2 linked regions of the Pelodiscus sinensis genome follow. The protein of the gene in region 1 interacts with the protein of each later gene in a pairwise test. Links are inferred from orthologs where the notes say so. Each region holds a gene or a part of one and is shown on either strand. Other genes may lie near its edges.

What was found.
Region 2: the proteins of PRRC2B (region 1) and YTHDF1 interact in a two-hybrid assay, tested with the Homo sapiens proteins (2 studies listed by BioGRID, with this or other methods). The link is inferred for Pelodiscus sinensis from reciprocal best matches to the Homo sapiens genes PRRC2B and YTHDF1.

The regions. Positions count from the first base shown.
Region 1 is NC_134732.1:14,401,452-14,409,005, reverse strand, and holds the start of PRRC2B (protein PRRC2B), read right to left. Parts: upstream 3,015-7,554; 5' UTR 2,839-3,014; intron 2,046-2,838; exon of another isoform or gene 1,501-2,045; intron 1-1,500.
Region 2 is NC_134728.1:6,691,432-6,698,963, forward strand, and holds the start of YTHDF1 (YTH domain-containing family protein 1), read left to right. Parts: upstream 1-4,514; 5' UTR 4,515-4,921; coding exon 4,922-4,948; intron 4,949-5,258; coding exon 5,259-5,283; intron 5,284-6,817; coding exon 6,818-6,897; intron 6,898-7,532.

The DNA.
Region 1 (7,554 bases):
CAGGGCACTGGGAACTGATTCCCAGCTCACAATCCTAACCCATCCCCCAGCCACCCTGCTGCGCTTGCAGCTCTTAATACATTTAAAAGGCAGAGCCACAGAGGGCTTAGCTCCCAGCCCAGAAGCTAACCATGCAGTTTCACTCCCTTTAACAACTAATTGACTAGTCAAGTGAAAAGGAAAACAGACCATCCTCTCTTCAATGTGAAAGTCAAATTAAGTTCAAAAAGAAAAATTCAGAAAGAGCAATGAAAGATACATTTGATTTTAATCTTAAATTTTGCCAATCCTCTATGAACTTTTAATGTAATTTTTAACCTGACAACATCTTCTTATGCCTTAATGTGAAAGCACATTTCAGAAAGGACATCATGAAAATAAAGATTAACAATGAAGTCCTGTTAATCCTTCACACCTCAAACAACAGATGGGGGAAAAAAATCTCTAAAGACCTCAGTCTATGAGGAGCAACATGACTTCTCCACCCACCCTGAACACCACACCACTGACTTCAATGGGGCTCTGCATAGGCCCAAGGTTTTACCCACTTGTAGGTCTGAGAATCAGGGCCAAATTATTTACAGAAGCAAAAGTGCAATTAAAGTTTTAGCTACTCAGGGCTCCTCCTTCCCTTACCCCTGTGAATTTATCCCAGTCCTTGGTCCCTAAACTTTGGCTTTTAGACATTGAGCAACCACGATTCCAATTGAAGTTATGGATGGATGACACGAATGCACAGTATTTCAGAAAAATTCAGGTCCTGAAGTAGTATCCTGCAAGTTTATATTTGGCAAATCCACTTGTCATATGCCAACACTCCAATGCAAGCTCTTTGGGGACCAGGACTATCATCTTCTATGTTTGCAAAGTACCTCACACAACAGTTGCTGCTCTAGTTGAGGCATGCAGGCACTACTGCCATGGAAGTTCTAAACTAACTTATAGATCCTTATTCAGGACTCAGTTCTGCAAGATGAGGGGCACTGTCTGCTAATAATGAAGAGGAAGTATTGCAGCTTTCAGGATCAATGCCCATCCTCCCATGCAGTTTCTAGAAAGAGACACAGGGTCTTAAATGTTTTCATAACTTGTATATATTTTGCCAAATATTAATACTGTTAACATAAAAATGCATCATTATATGAAAGTATTAATCCATCAAATACAATCACTGCCTCCAAAATTTCTGCTGCTCTATCACCTTTTCTGTACCCAGAGTCTTTTCTACCTCTGAGGAAAAATTTTCATAACAAAACCCAAAACTCAGGATCAAATAACATTTGCAACCACAAAGCCCACACAGTTCTGCTAACCGAAATATCCACATATTCTTATGAGATGCATGGAAACAACATTATCTATAGAGCCAGGACCAGTTTCAAGCACACACCCCCACGAACCCAGAGGTAGTAAAATCTTTGTTAATAATAAAATATACATTTTTAATAAAACCACATGCATCTTCCAAGATCCAGCATCAAACACCAGAAACATCCCTACCGCATTTCACAGCCTCAGAAGCTGCGTTGTAAACACACCCCCACAAACTGCATTTCAGTCTCTGGAACCTCTTTGCACAGCTACAATAAAACAATCGGAGCTGCTCAGCTGAGCTTCAAACGCTTATTGAAACATCCACTGCAACAAGAATCTGATCGCTGTCAAATCAAAAGAGTGATTTCGATTTTCAACTGCCTTTGCAAAAAAGACCACCCCAAAAATCGACTAGTCAATAACACGCACAACGGTGTTAAATGAAACTGTTTCATACACCACCGTGTGTGCCGTAGCAGAGCAATGGGGGCTGGGCAGGAAGCTCTGGGAGACAGAACTGTACTGTAGCGCGTATAGTTTAATAATCCCAGATGGGGGAGGGTTTAGCAGTTTGTAATAACAGTAGCAGCAACATGGATCAGGCCTCCCATGACCCGAGTGCAGAACCAAAACAATGAGGCTGAACACTCATAGACTCTAGGCTCAGAAGGGACCATTATGATCATCTAGTCTGACCCCCTGCACAGTGCAGGCCACAGAATCTCACCCACCCCTCCCAGAATAATCCTCTCACCTATAGGACAATGTAGCACTTTAAAGACTAACAAGATGGTTTATTAGATGATGAGCTTTCGTGGGCCAGACCCACTTCCTCAGATATTGAAGCCTTCAAATACACGGGGGTTTTCTTTGAAGAAAAACCCACCCACAATCCGAACGGGCTAACCTAGCAAGCCACCAAGCTAAACAAAGCCCCCCGATGTATTAGAGCCTGAAAGGTGAACCCGGTCCCCACGCCTCTCAGCCCCCAACTGGGCGTGGGGGCCGCCTCGCAAGGCCCCGCATCTGCGGCTGGGAACCGAGGGAGGCTCCATCGCGGACTGGGCTTTGCAGCCTACAAACCGGCTCCAGCTTCCTGAGCTGGGGGAGACCAGAGGCTAATCCCCCCCCCCACACACACACACCCCCCAACCCTCCGAACCCGGGGTCAAGCGCCCTGAGGGGCTCCCCGGGGCTCCATCCCCCGGCTTTGTTCCGGGGCGCACGGGTCTGAAGCGGGGATCGGGCTGGGCCGAAGCGGGCACGGAACGCTGGGCAAGGCGGCGTTTGGGGTGCTGGGCTCCGGCCCGCTACAGCCGGGGGGGGGGGGTGGCGTGAATGAGTGAGACGGGGTTGAAATGGAGACCAGAGGGGGAGGGGAAGCCTGGGGCAGGTTCCCTCCGGGCTCCAGGCAGCCTCTGGCTCAGGCTCCATTTTAGGGCTGCCTTGGTCCCATCCCCCCCCCGCCGCATCAACCACCCTGAATAAAACCTCTCAGCCCCGCCAGCCGACCCCAATACCCACCTGTGGTGGTTGTCGGGAGCCGGGTCTGCCTGGGGAGCCGAGTCAGGAGGGTAGATGGGGGCTCAGGGAGCAGGATGGCTGCGGATTGAAAGGCAGAGGCGGCGCTGCCTGGATTGCAGGTTCTCGCTGCCTCTCTGTGTCTGCCTCCTCCTCCTCCAGTCCTCCCCCCTCCCCTGCTCCTGCACGGCCTGTCAATCCCCGGCCTGGAGTGAGCAACTCATCCCGCAGCCAGAGGCGTACAAACCGGACAGCGACACCTGCAGGGACTCCAGAGGAAAGCCAGGCGCACCGCGCCTCACAGGGGTTAACGATAGAGGCGAGGAGGTTGAAAGCAAAACGAGAGAAGAAAAAGAGATAGAAAGGAGGGAGCGTGCCGGAGAGGGAGGAGAAAGAGCGGGAGAAAGAGAATTAAAGAGTCAAAGACATGAGAAAAAGGGGGAAGAATGATTGGGAAAGATGCAGAGGTGCCTGCAGAACTGTCTAACTCCAGCCTCTGCTCTGGGGAGCTCTCTTCTGCTCTGATTCCCAAAACCTGAGGGATTCTGGCAGAGGACAGTACAGTATGCACCTTGATTACAGCCCACAAGAGGGGTCATGAAACTGATTGCAGGAGGAGAGGATGGGAGCTTGGTCCTGCCAAGGCAGACACTGGCAGGGGCAGCTCTGGGATCCTGGAGCTCTACAGTTGTCAGGATTACTTTATAGTCAGGCAGAAACTATTCTTTGGATTTCAATAAAAAGCCCCATGGTGATTAGATGTGCATGCAAAAGTGAGAGAGAAGCCTAGGCTGGACAGGAGGTTTGGTCAAGAAGCTGCAGCCAAATACCAGGCTTTCCCATTTCTCATTGTAGGCAGATATGATATGAAAGTTGAGAAGAAGTCAATTAAGGAAAGAAGGAAGAGGAAAGTCTTTCCCTTGCCTGCAAGGGCTTTAGATTGAGCCCAGAATGCACAAAGGAGGAAGCAGTTTCTCAATAAAGTGAGAAGCCATGGAATTTCTGTCTCTCTCACCCCGCTCTCTAAACATTAAATCAGTTCCCAAACTGGCAATGATACAGCACCCCTTAATGCAGCCTTGCCATGGAGTGACCACCCTTTTAACACTGAGATGGGAGCTCATTTTCCATAACCCATCTCCCTTTATTAAGATAGCCAGCAAGGAGTCCTATTAATGGCAGATGTAGTAGCAGTTGTGTGGCATGGATACCTGTCTGGTAAGAAGTGGCCTGAGACCATTTCACACTGGCTGCCAGATACCTGTCAAACACCGAGCCTTTTTTTCTTCCTACCTAAATTTAATGTCTCACACATGATTCTTCTTTGATTTTATACCTCAGGAAATCACTGTCGCCAGCAGAGAATTCCCCTCTCTGCCTAGCATGTTCCTGTTTACATTGGGATACATAATAAGATAGCAATAGAAAATTTAATTCTCCTTTATTATGACATTCATATTTGGTGCCCATCACTCTACCATGCACTGTTATTGTAGGAGGTTTCAGTACCAATCTTCATCATCTCCTGCTCCAACATTGAAACTTTCTCTCTTAAGAAGGAAAAACTATGTAGCATTTTAAAGACTAAGATGGTTTAATAGGTAATGAGCTTTCGTGGGCCAGACCCACTTCCTCAGATCATATTCTGGAAGAGAATTGGCATAACCATATATATCAGAGGAATACAATGAAAAAAGTGAACACATTATTAAACTGACAAATCAGATTTAGTACAGAAGGTGGGGTGGGTGAGAGGGAGAGAGGGAGGGAATAGCTACTTATGAGTCAATGAATGGCTAATCAGAGGTGATAAGTGGGGAAGCTATCTTGTAATGGGGAAGATAATTAGTATCTTTGTTAAGGCCTATTCTTAAAGTGTCAAATTTAAGCATGAATGAATGTTCTGAAGTTTCCCTCTGTAATCTGGTGTTAAAGTCTCTTTGAAGTAAGATGCACATAGTAAGGTCGTTAAGACTATGTCCAGCTAGGCTGAAATGAAAAACAACTGGTTTTTCCTTGTGAGGATGTCTGATGTCTGATTTATGGGCATTAATTCTTTGGCGAAGTGTCTGAGAAGTCTGTCCAATATACATAGCAGAAGGACATTGTTGGCACATGATGGCAGAAATTATATTTCTGGATGAACAGGAATATGTGTTCTTGATCATATAACTGACATGGTTAGGTAGGACCAGTGATGGTGTCACCAGAGTAAATATGTGGACAACGTTGGCAGCGGTGTTTGTTGCAAGGGAAAGTTCTGGGGTTGGTATTAATGTGGTATGTCCTGTGGTTGTTGGTAAGAATCTTCCTGAGGTTAGGTGGTTGTCTATAGGAGACTATGGGTCTGTCCCCCAGAGCCTCTCGGATTGTAGTATCCTGTTCCAGTATAGGTTGTAGGTTATTGATAATGCGTTGGAGGGTTTTAAGTTGGGGGCTATTGGTGATGACAAGTGGTGTTCTATTATTGGTTTTCTTGGGCCTATCTTAAAGTAAATGGTTTCTGGGTATTCGTCTGGCTCTTTCAATTTGTTTTTTTATTTCCCCGGGTGGGTAATTGAAATTTACAAATGATTTGGTAGAGATTTTGAAGTTTATGGTCTCTGTCAGTGGGATGAGAGTGGGATTAGAGCAGATGAGGTTGTACCCCCAGATCTCTCCCCTCCACTCTCAGGATGTTATACTTATAAGAAGCACACAGGATCTTTTTCAGGGGAAAAGGCAATACACCACATTTACTGAAAACTAGAAGATTTACCTGGCATTGCTCAGGGCCTTAACTCAAATAAATTTTGTTTTTCTTCATTTAAATCATGATTCTGGGATGGGGTGAGGAATGATGGGTTGAGTATACAGGACAATCTCAGAACTCTTTCATTGTAGCAGCTTGGGACAAGGTGAGAAGCTCCTGTCCATGGCTGCTGCCGTTGCAGTGGGTACAGCAGGGGGAGGGTTGCATGTCCCCCAGCTGGGGAACAGTGAGACACACAAACAGACAAACCAAACTTTGACTGGTTCAGGGAACTGGTGGGCAGGATACCCTGGGATGCTAACATGAAGAGGAAAGAAATCCAGGAGAGTTGGCAGAAACCTTGTTGAAAGCACAGGAACAAACCTCCCAATGCACAGTAAGAGAAGCAAATACGGTAGGTGAACAGCTTGGCTTAGCAGTGAAATCCTTGGCAAGTTTAAACAGAAGAAGGAAGCTTACAAGAAGTGGAAACTTGGACAGATGACTAGGAGTATAAATATATTGCTTGAGATGCAGGGGTGTAATCAGGAAGGCCAAAGCGCAATTGGAATTGCAGCTAGCAAGGGATGTGAAGGGAATCATTAAAGGGTTCTACAGGCATGTTAGCAATAAGAGGGTGACCAGGGAAGGAGTGGGACCCATCTTAAAAAAAGGGAGGAAGGACAATCCAGAGAATTGCAGACCGGACAACCACCCCTCAGTCCCCAGAAAAATCATAGCGGGGATACTCAATGGATCCATTTTGAAGCACTTGGAAGAGAGGAAAGTGATCATGAATAGTCAACATGGATTCACCAAGGGCAAATCATGCCTGATCAACATGATTGCCTTCTATGACCAGGCAACTGGCTCTGTGGGTACGGAGAAGGCAGTGGACATGATATATCTTGACATTAGCATAGCTTTTGATATGGTCTCCCACAGTATTCTTGCCAGCAAGTTAAAGAAGTATGGATTGGATAAATGGACTGTAAGGTGGCTAGAAAGTTGGCTAGATTGTTGGGCTTAGTGATAAATGGCTTGATGTCTGGCTGGAGGTTGGTGTCAAGCGGAGTGCCCCAGGAGTCAGTTCTGGGGCCAGTTTTGTTCACCATCTTTATTAATGACCTGGATAAGGGGATGCATTGCACCTTCAGCAATAACACTAAGCTGGGGGAGAGGAAGATACGTTTTTGGTACAGATAGGGTCCAGAGTGACCTAGACAAATTGGAGGATTGGGCAAAAAGAAATCTGATGAGGTTCAACAAGGACAAGTGCAGAGTCCTACACTTGAACGGAAGAATCCCAAGCACTGTTATAGGCTGGGGACCAACTAGCTAGGCAGCAGTTCAGCAGAAAAAGACCCGGGGATTACAGTGGATGAGAAACTGGATGAGTCAACAGTGTGTCCTTGTAGCAAGAAGGCTAATGGCATATTAGGGTGCATTAGGAAGAGCATTGCCAGCAAATCTAGAGAAATGATTATTCCCCTGGTGAGGCCACATCTGGAGTACTGCATCCAATTTCTGCCCCCTCTGCCCCCCCTGCCCTCCCCGTCACAGAAAGGATGTGGACGCATTGGAGAGGGTCCAGTGGAGGGCACTGAAAATGATTAGGGGGCTGGAGCACATGACTTATGAGGAGAGGCTGAGGGATTTGGACAGTCTACAGAAGAGAAGAGTGAGGGGGCATTTGATAGCAGCCTTTAACTACCCAAAGGGAGGTTCCAAAGAGAATGGAGAGAGGCTGTTCTCAGTGGTGACTGATGACAGAACAAGGGGCAAAGGTCTCAAGCTGCAGTGGGGGAGGTCTAGTTTTAGTGGGGGGAAACTATTTCACTAGGAAGGTGGGGAAGCACTGGAATGGATTACCTAGGGAGGGGGTGGAATCTCCATCCCTAGAGATTTTTAAGTCCCGGCTTGACAAAGCCCTGGCTGGGATGATTTAGTTGGGCTTGGTCCTGCTTTTGGCAGCAGGTTGGACTTGA
Region 2 (7,532 bases), on another chromosome or scaffold:
GAGGTGGATTACAGGAGGGGGTGAGGGTGCAAGGTCTGGGCGGGGGTGAAATGCAGGAGGAAATTAAGGGTGCGAGTTCTGGATGGGAAGTAGGGTACAGGAACAGGCTGAGAGCAGGGGGTCTGGCCAGGGGAAGGGGACAAGAAAAAGGAAGATGCAGTGTGTGGCCAGGAGGGAGGGTACAGGAGAAAGGGTGGGTGCAGGAGTGGGCTGGGAGTAGTATGTCTGGCCAGGGGGAGGGTGAAGAAACAGTGGTGCGGGGGCAGGAAGGTGTGTGTGTGTGAGAGAGACGTGGCGGGGAGCACCTATTTGTCTTCAGGCCCTGCGCTGGTCTCACGCACTGCCTCCCGCTGCTCCCATTGGCCAGATTCTGGTCATTGGGAGCAGCAGGGAAAGCCTCCAGGCAGCGCGTCCAGGCAAAGCTTGGCAGGCGTCACAGGGCGCATGTTGCAGGCGGCGACTCTTTAAAGCGGCATGTAAACTGAGATGCTGGTATTTGGTTGCCCTGGAGCACCTGCTCTCCTCCATGATGGTGGTGAACTCTCAGGAGCGGCCCCACGTCTCCCAGCTACTTGATCAGCTGGAGGGGCTGCAGCCAGCCGCAAGGGGCCAGGCCACCACCCAGATCTGATCCGGAGGCCCTGCGTAACTGAGGCAAGACCAGGACTGTGTGTGAAGGCTGGAACTGCTTTTAAAATGGAGCTGGAGATTAAATGCAAAACAAGGGCTGTGGGGTAAAGTCTTGCCAGTGACTGGCTGGCACATGCCATCTGCTTCAGGACCACACTGGGCATCCACCCTGCTGCCAGGAACTCAGACAGCCTTGGCCTGGCCCTGCTGAGGGCACACACCCTGAGTCCCAGGGTGCCCCTGCCAGGAACACCTGCCCTGGGCTTTGGTGCCCTGTCCTGGTGCTCCACTTTGGCTGGGGAGGCAGAAGGGATTAGCACTTCACCTGTCTCCAGCAGTTACGGCATCAGCATCTCCTTGGCCCTGGAAAGGGATGCTGCCTTCTGCTCCTCAGTCAGAGATAGTGGGTGTCCCCTGGGTCTACGCTGCCCCCCTGGTTAACAGCTGCAGCTGCGTTCTTGGGCAGCTTTTTTTCCACCTTCTGCTGGAAGGGAGGTGGGCTCAGCCTGTGGCCTTCCCCCACGTGGGGTCAGTCTGGATTTTCTGTCCAATGTGTGCGGAGGAAGAAACCCAGGTGCTCCTGCAGAGCGCAGTGTGCCAGCCACTGCTCAGTCTCCAGCATCTCGCACACCACAGACCATTACCAGCTCCGGTAGCAACAGTACCCCGTGTGGAGGGGGAGAGGAAGTGCATCTTCCTCGTGAGCCTGATTGCGCAGCAAGGCTTGGGGCTTTCTCTCCACTCCCACCCCCAGCAGGAAGCCGGCGCAGGTGCTCCAACCTCATGAGGAAGGACAAGGCTGCAGTGCCAGCACAGGCTCCCTGCTACGGAAGAAAGGAGGGAAGACTGAGCTCCAGCCACACACCACCTGCAAGCAGCTGTGGAGCCCCCCTTACCAACTTGGGGGCACTTAAAAGCCACAGCCCAGACCCACGTGGTGGGGGCATGGAATTCCACGTGTTATACTGAACCTCACCTCGCCACGTGGACTTCAGCTGGTCTCCTGAACATAAGAACGGCTGTATTGGGTCAGACCAAAGGTCCATCCAGCCCAGTACCCTGTCTGCCGACAGTGGCCAAAGCCAGGTGCCCCAGAAGGAGTGAAACGAACGGGTAATGATCAAGCGATCTCTCTCCTGCCATCCATCTCTACTTTCTGAGAAACAGGCTAGAGACACCATTCCTTATCCATACTGGCTAATAGCCATTAATGGACTTAACCTCCATGAATTTATCTAGTTCTTTTAAACCCTGTTATAGTCCCAACCTTCACAACCTCCTCAGGCAAGGAATTCCACAGATTGACTATGCGTTGTGTGAAGAAGAACTTCCTTTTATTTGTTTTAAACCTGCTGCCCATTAGTTTCATTTGGTGGCTGCTAGTTCTTATATTATGGAAACAAGTAAATAACTTTTCCTTATTCACTTTCTCCACACCACTCATGATTTTATAGACCTCTATCATATCCCCCTTTAGTCTCCTCTTTTCCAAACTGAAAAGTCCCAGTCTCTTTAATCTCTCCTCAGATGGTACCCGTTCCAAACCCCTAATCATTTTAGTTGCCCTTCTCTGAACCTTTTCTAATGCCAGTATATCTTTTTTGAGATGAGGAGACCACATCTGTATGCAGTATTCCAGATGTGGGCATACCATGGATTTATGTAAGGGTAATAATATATTCTACATCTTATTTGCTATCCCTTTTTTAATGGTTCCTAACAACCTGTTTGCTTTTTTGACTGCCGCTGCACACTGCATGGACGTCTTCAGAGAACTATCCACGATGACTACAAGATCTCTTTCCTGATTAGTTGTAGCTAAATTAGCCTCCATCATATTATTTGTATAGTTGGGGTTATTTTTCCCAATGTGCATTACTTTAACTTTATCCACATTAAATTTCATTTGCCATTTTGTTGCCCAGTCACTTAGTTTGGTGAGATCTTTTTGAAGTTATTCACAGTCTGCTTTGGTCTTAATTACCTTGAGCAGTTTAGTATTATTGACAAACTTTGCCACCTCACTGTTTACCCATTCTCCAGATCATTTATGAATATGTTGATTAGGATCGGTCCTAGGACTGACCCTTGGGGAACACCACTAGTTACCCCTCTCCATTCTGAAAATTTACCATTTATTCCTACCCTTTGTTTCCTGTCTTTCAACCAGTTCTCAGTCCATGAAAGGATCTTTCCTCTTATCCCATGAGAACTTAATTTACGTAAGAGCCTTTGGTGAGGGACCTTGTCAAAGGCTTTCTGGAAATCTAAATACACTATAGCTACTGGGTCCCCCTTGTCCACGTTTGTTGACCCCTTCAAAGAACTCAATAGATTAGTAAGACATGATTTCCCTTTACAGAAACCATGTTGACTTTTGCCCCAAAAATTATGTTCTTCTATGTATCCGACAATTTTATTCTTTACTATTACCGTAGCTAATAGTGCCACAATTTCACATTTGAGTTCTTTCAGAACTCTTGGGTGAATGCCATCTGGTTCCGGTGACTTGTTACTGTTAAGTTTATCAATTAATTCCAAAACCTCCTCTAATGACATTTCAATCTGTGACAAGTCCTCAGATTTGTCACCTACACAGTTTTGGGAATCTCGCTAACATCCTCAGCCGTGAAGACTGAAGCAAAGAATTCATTTAGTTTATCTGCAACGACTTTATCGTCTTCAAGTGCTCCTTTTGTATCTCGATCGTGCAGGGGCCCAACTGGTTGTTTAGCAGGCTTCCTGTTTCTGATGTACTTAGAAAACATTTTGTTATTACCTTTTGAGTTTTTGGCTAGCTGTTCTTCAAACTCCTTTTTGGCTTTTCTTATTAAATTTTTACACTTGATTTGACAGTGTTTATGCTCTTTTCTATTTACCTCACTAGAATTTGACTTCCACTTTTTAAAAGATGTCTTTTTATCTCTCACTGCTTCTTTTACATGGTTGTTAAGCCACGGTGGCTCTTTTTTAGTTCTTCTACTATGTTTTTTAATTTGGGGTATACATTTAAGTTGGGCCTCTATTATGGTGTCTTTGAAAAGTGTCCATGCAGCTTGCAGGGATTTTACTTTAGTCGCTGTACCTTTTAATTTCTGTTTAGCTAACCTCATTTTTGCATAGTTCCCCTTTTTTAAATTAAATGCCACAGTGTTGGGCTGCTGAGGTGTTCTTCCCACCACAGGAATGTTATCTGTTGTTATATCATGGTCACTATTTTCAAGTGGTCCTGTTAAGAGTTACCTCTTGGACCAGATCCTGCAGGCCACTGAGGAGTAAATCGAGAATTGCCTCTCCCCTTGTGAGTTCCTGTACCAGCTGCTCTAAGAAGCAGTTGTTTAAGGTATCAAGAAATTTTGTTTCTGCATCTGGTCCTGAGGTGACATGTACCCAGTCAACATGAGGATAGTTGAAATCCCCCACTATTATTGAGTTTTTTGATAGCCTCTCTAATCTCCCTTAGCATTTCACAGTCACTATCACTGTCCTGGTCAGGTGTCCGATAACGGATCCCTACTGTTCTTGGAGCAGGGAATTACTATCCATAGCGATTCTGCGGGGAGGGGGGCATAGCTAGGGTTTGGGGGCCGCCTCTGCCCTGGCTGGGGGCTACACTGCAGAGTCAGCAGCCTTCTCTACAGACACACGCTGGCGTGGGCGAGCCCATGTAATACCATCCCCCCCCCCCAAAGCCCATGGAGGACCCCACACACAAAACCAAGGAGGCGCTTGCCATGGAACTACGCAGCCCGAGCCATGGGAAAAGGGAAGGGGGGGGGAAGAGAAGCTGGCAGAACAGCTTCGCGCATGCGCGGCAGGTGTTGCCTTCCCTCCACTCCTCCCCTCCCTCACCCCGTCGTGGCTTCCCGGCGTCCCCCGCGCGCTGTAGCGTTGACGTCACCGCCGCCCGGTCCCCGCCGCCATTGGAGTTGGAGGGTCTCTCGCTCCATCCCGGCGCCGGGCCAGCGGGGGGTGGGGGGGACGGGACGGGACGCGGAGCGAGCGAGGGCGGGCGGGGATGTGAGGAGAAGGGCCGGCAGGCCGAGGAGCGAGCGCACCCCCATCCCCCCTCGTGCCTGGGGGCCTTGCCTGAGGAGAGACCCCCCCCCCACCCCCCGGCGGGACGCAGCGGGGACCCGCCCTCCACGCTGACCCGGCCCGGTCCCGCGCGCCCCCTCGCAGGCCCAGGCGCTGCCCCCGCCCCCCCAGGAGGGGCCCGGCCTTCTCCCCGTGCTCCTCCCCTTTGCGCGGAGGGGCCCCGCCCCCCATCACGGGGCCCTGTACATGAATTATGTCTGCCACAAGCGTTGACCCTCAGGTAAGTGGTGGCCACCCCCCCCCCCGGGCCTGGGGGCTTCCCCCCACCCCGAGTGGCCCTGTTCTCCTTCCTGGGCTCCCCTGTTAACTCTCCCCTACTCTGCCTTCTCCCGGTCAGTGGCCTTGTCCAGGGAAAGCTCTGGGTAGCCCTTAATAACAACCCTACCCGCCCCCTCTCTCTAGACTCCCCCCCCCCCCCCGTGGATATTCCCCACCCACCCTGTTCCCCATTGAGCCAAGAGCGTTTTCCAAGACTAACTTGCTGGCTTGTTTTTATTTTCCTCTTGGCAATCCTGCGCATGGCATTGCAGCGACCGAAAGGACAAGATAATAAAGGTAAGGCAGGAGTTGGGATCATTCCACTTAAGTTTGTTACTGGTGAAAGCAGAGGAATCAGGCAGGCCATGATGCATGAGCCAATAGGTATTAGTTTAAAATTTGGGGTGAAATATGGAGAAAAGTGAGAGTGTTTTTTTTTTAAAGAACCTAATTCCTAAGGGTTTACATGCCGTTAGTGTCACTATTCATGAGATTGTACAGTACTGTTTAATAATAAAAACATTTAAGAAAAGCAAATCGTTAGTTATTTTTACTCTTTAGGAGATTCATTTACTTAAATTATTGGTTACTTTTTAACCTAACTTTAATTTTCTACTGTGTAATTACTCTTCTGTTACTGAACTAGTTTTGGCAAATGAGAGTTTATAGATCATGACAGGTGTCATGCAGGTTTTTCCATTAAATAATTTCAGTCTTAAGCAAACCACGTTTTCTCTGATAATGTGATATGCTTTTAGGGACCTCTGTAGTACAGTGTGTCAAATTAAACTTCAGAAGCAAGTTGTCTTTTAAGTAAATGCCCTTCTTTATAAACTGTTATGCATGTTACTATAACTGCTACCAAATACATAACTGTTTAAGAATAGAAAGGAATCAGATACTCCCATCACTTTACGTGGGCACACTTTTCAGTGTTGAGGTTATTTGATTTTTGCTTCATCAGTGTGTTTCAAACAACTATAGTCCCAGTGAGCTCTTATTTTTCCCATTTTATAAATACAGGCTTCATATTATGCATGCATTTTCCTGGCAGAATCTTAACATTATTTTTCTCTTACAGACTTCTTTGAAATCTTAACTTTTAGTTTTAGTATAATATTTCTTTTTCCTGTAGCAATATTTTTAGTTTAGCCCTCCTGTAAAAGTCTTGAGCTACTATCCAAAGACTTAATGAATACAATGTGACTTATGCTTCAAAACAAATGATGGAAATTAAGAGTAAAGTGTAATAATTTATTTATATAACACCTTTCAGCTGTGGAAGTCAGGATGATTTACAAATATTAACTGAGTCTCAAATAACTCTGATTTAGTGAAATTTCACCCCCCTTTTTTGAACAGGAAAACCAAGGCTTGAATTTAAAATTTGTAAATACTATTTGGATATTAAACACTTAACAGCCACCATTTTACTGTTCTACCTCTGATATGATTTATCTTTACTTTTTAAAGAGGCTGCTTAGCTTTTACAGAAGATCTTGCTATGTCCTCCATTTCTTCTCATGAGCTCTTGTCAAGCATTGTCTGTTTGGTTTTAAAATATTTTATGGGGAAAGTATAAATAATGTTTACTAAAATTGCGAGATCCTCTGACTGTCATTCAGATCTGTTTTGTAAGCAATAGTGACATTTAGAGTGCATGTGGGAGTTTTCATTCTGGTGAAATCTGACCTCTTTGCCTCCAGGGATTATTAACAATGCCACAAGAAGGAAGAGAGAGAACTTATTTTTGTCAAGTTACTCTAGGGTGATTTTCTTTATTGAAACGTTGTCAGGCAATATTCTAATGTGTTGCAACTTTTTGTTGTAGTTCAGAATGGTTCATTGCACCAGAAGGACGCAGTTCATGACAACGATTTTGAACCTTACCTTTCTGGACAGTCAAATCAGGTTAGTGCATCTCTGTTAATTTTGATGACTCTTTTTTTATTTTTTTATAAAGGGGTGGCGGGTAGTGTTGTAAAACCAACACAAATATGCCTTGCTTATGCCCAGATGGATCATGGTTTTAAAAGGAAGTAGAAGCTATAGTGCATGAAGTGTTACTGAGTAATGGCACTACTGTTTTAGTTAAGAATACTGGTATACATATAAATTAATAATATATACATTAATAATCTGATTTGCTCACATGTGGAAAGCAAGTTAGTGCTCCCATCTCAGTTTTTGCTGGGCACTTATAAAGTGATACAATTCCTGCAAAATCTGACATAGCTGGTAACCTGCCAAGGGCCCTGCACTGTCAGTTCTTTAATAGACAGCTTACTCATTGTTGCAGTCATTGGAGTTCTGTTTCTGTAGGACTGGTGGAAATAATGGTAAGTGACCACTAGCATTTATTTGAAGCTCTTAGAGATGCTATGACAAGAACTCAAACTTTAAGGCCAGAAGGGACCATTGTGATAATCTAATCTGACTTCCTTCACATCACAGGCCACAGATCCTCTCCCACCCATTGTTGTAGTAGAACCTAATCTCTAGTGGAGTTACTCAATTTCTCAAATCTTACCTCTTTGCAGAGGCAT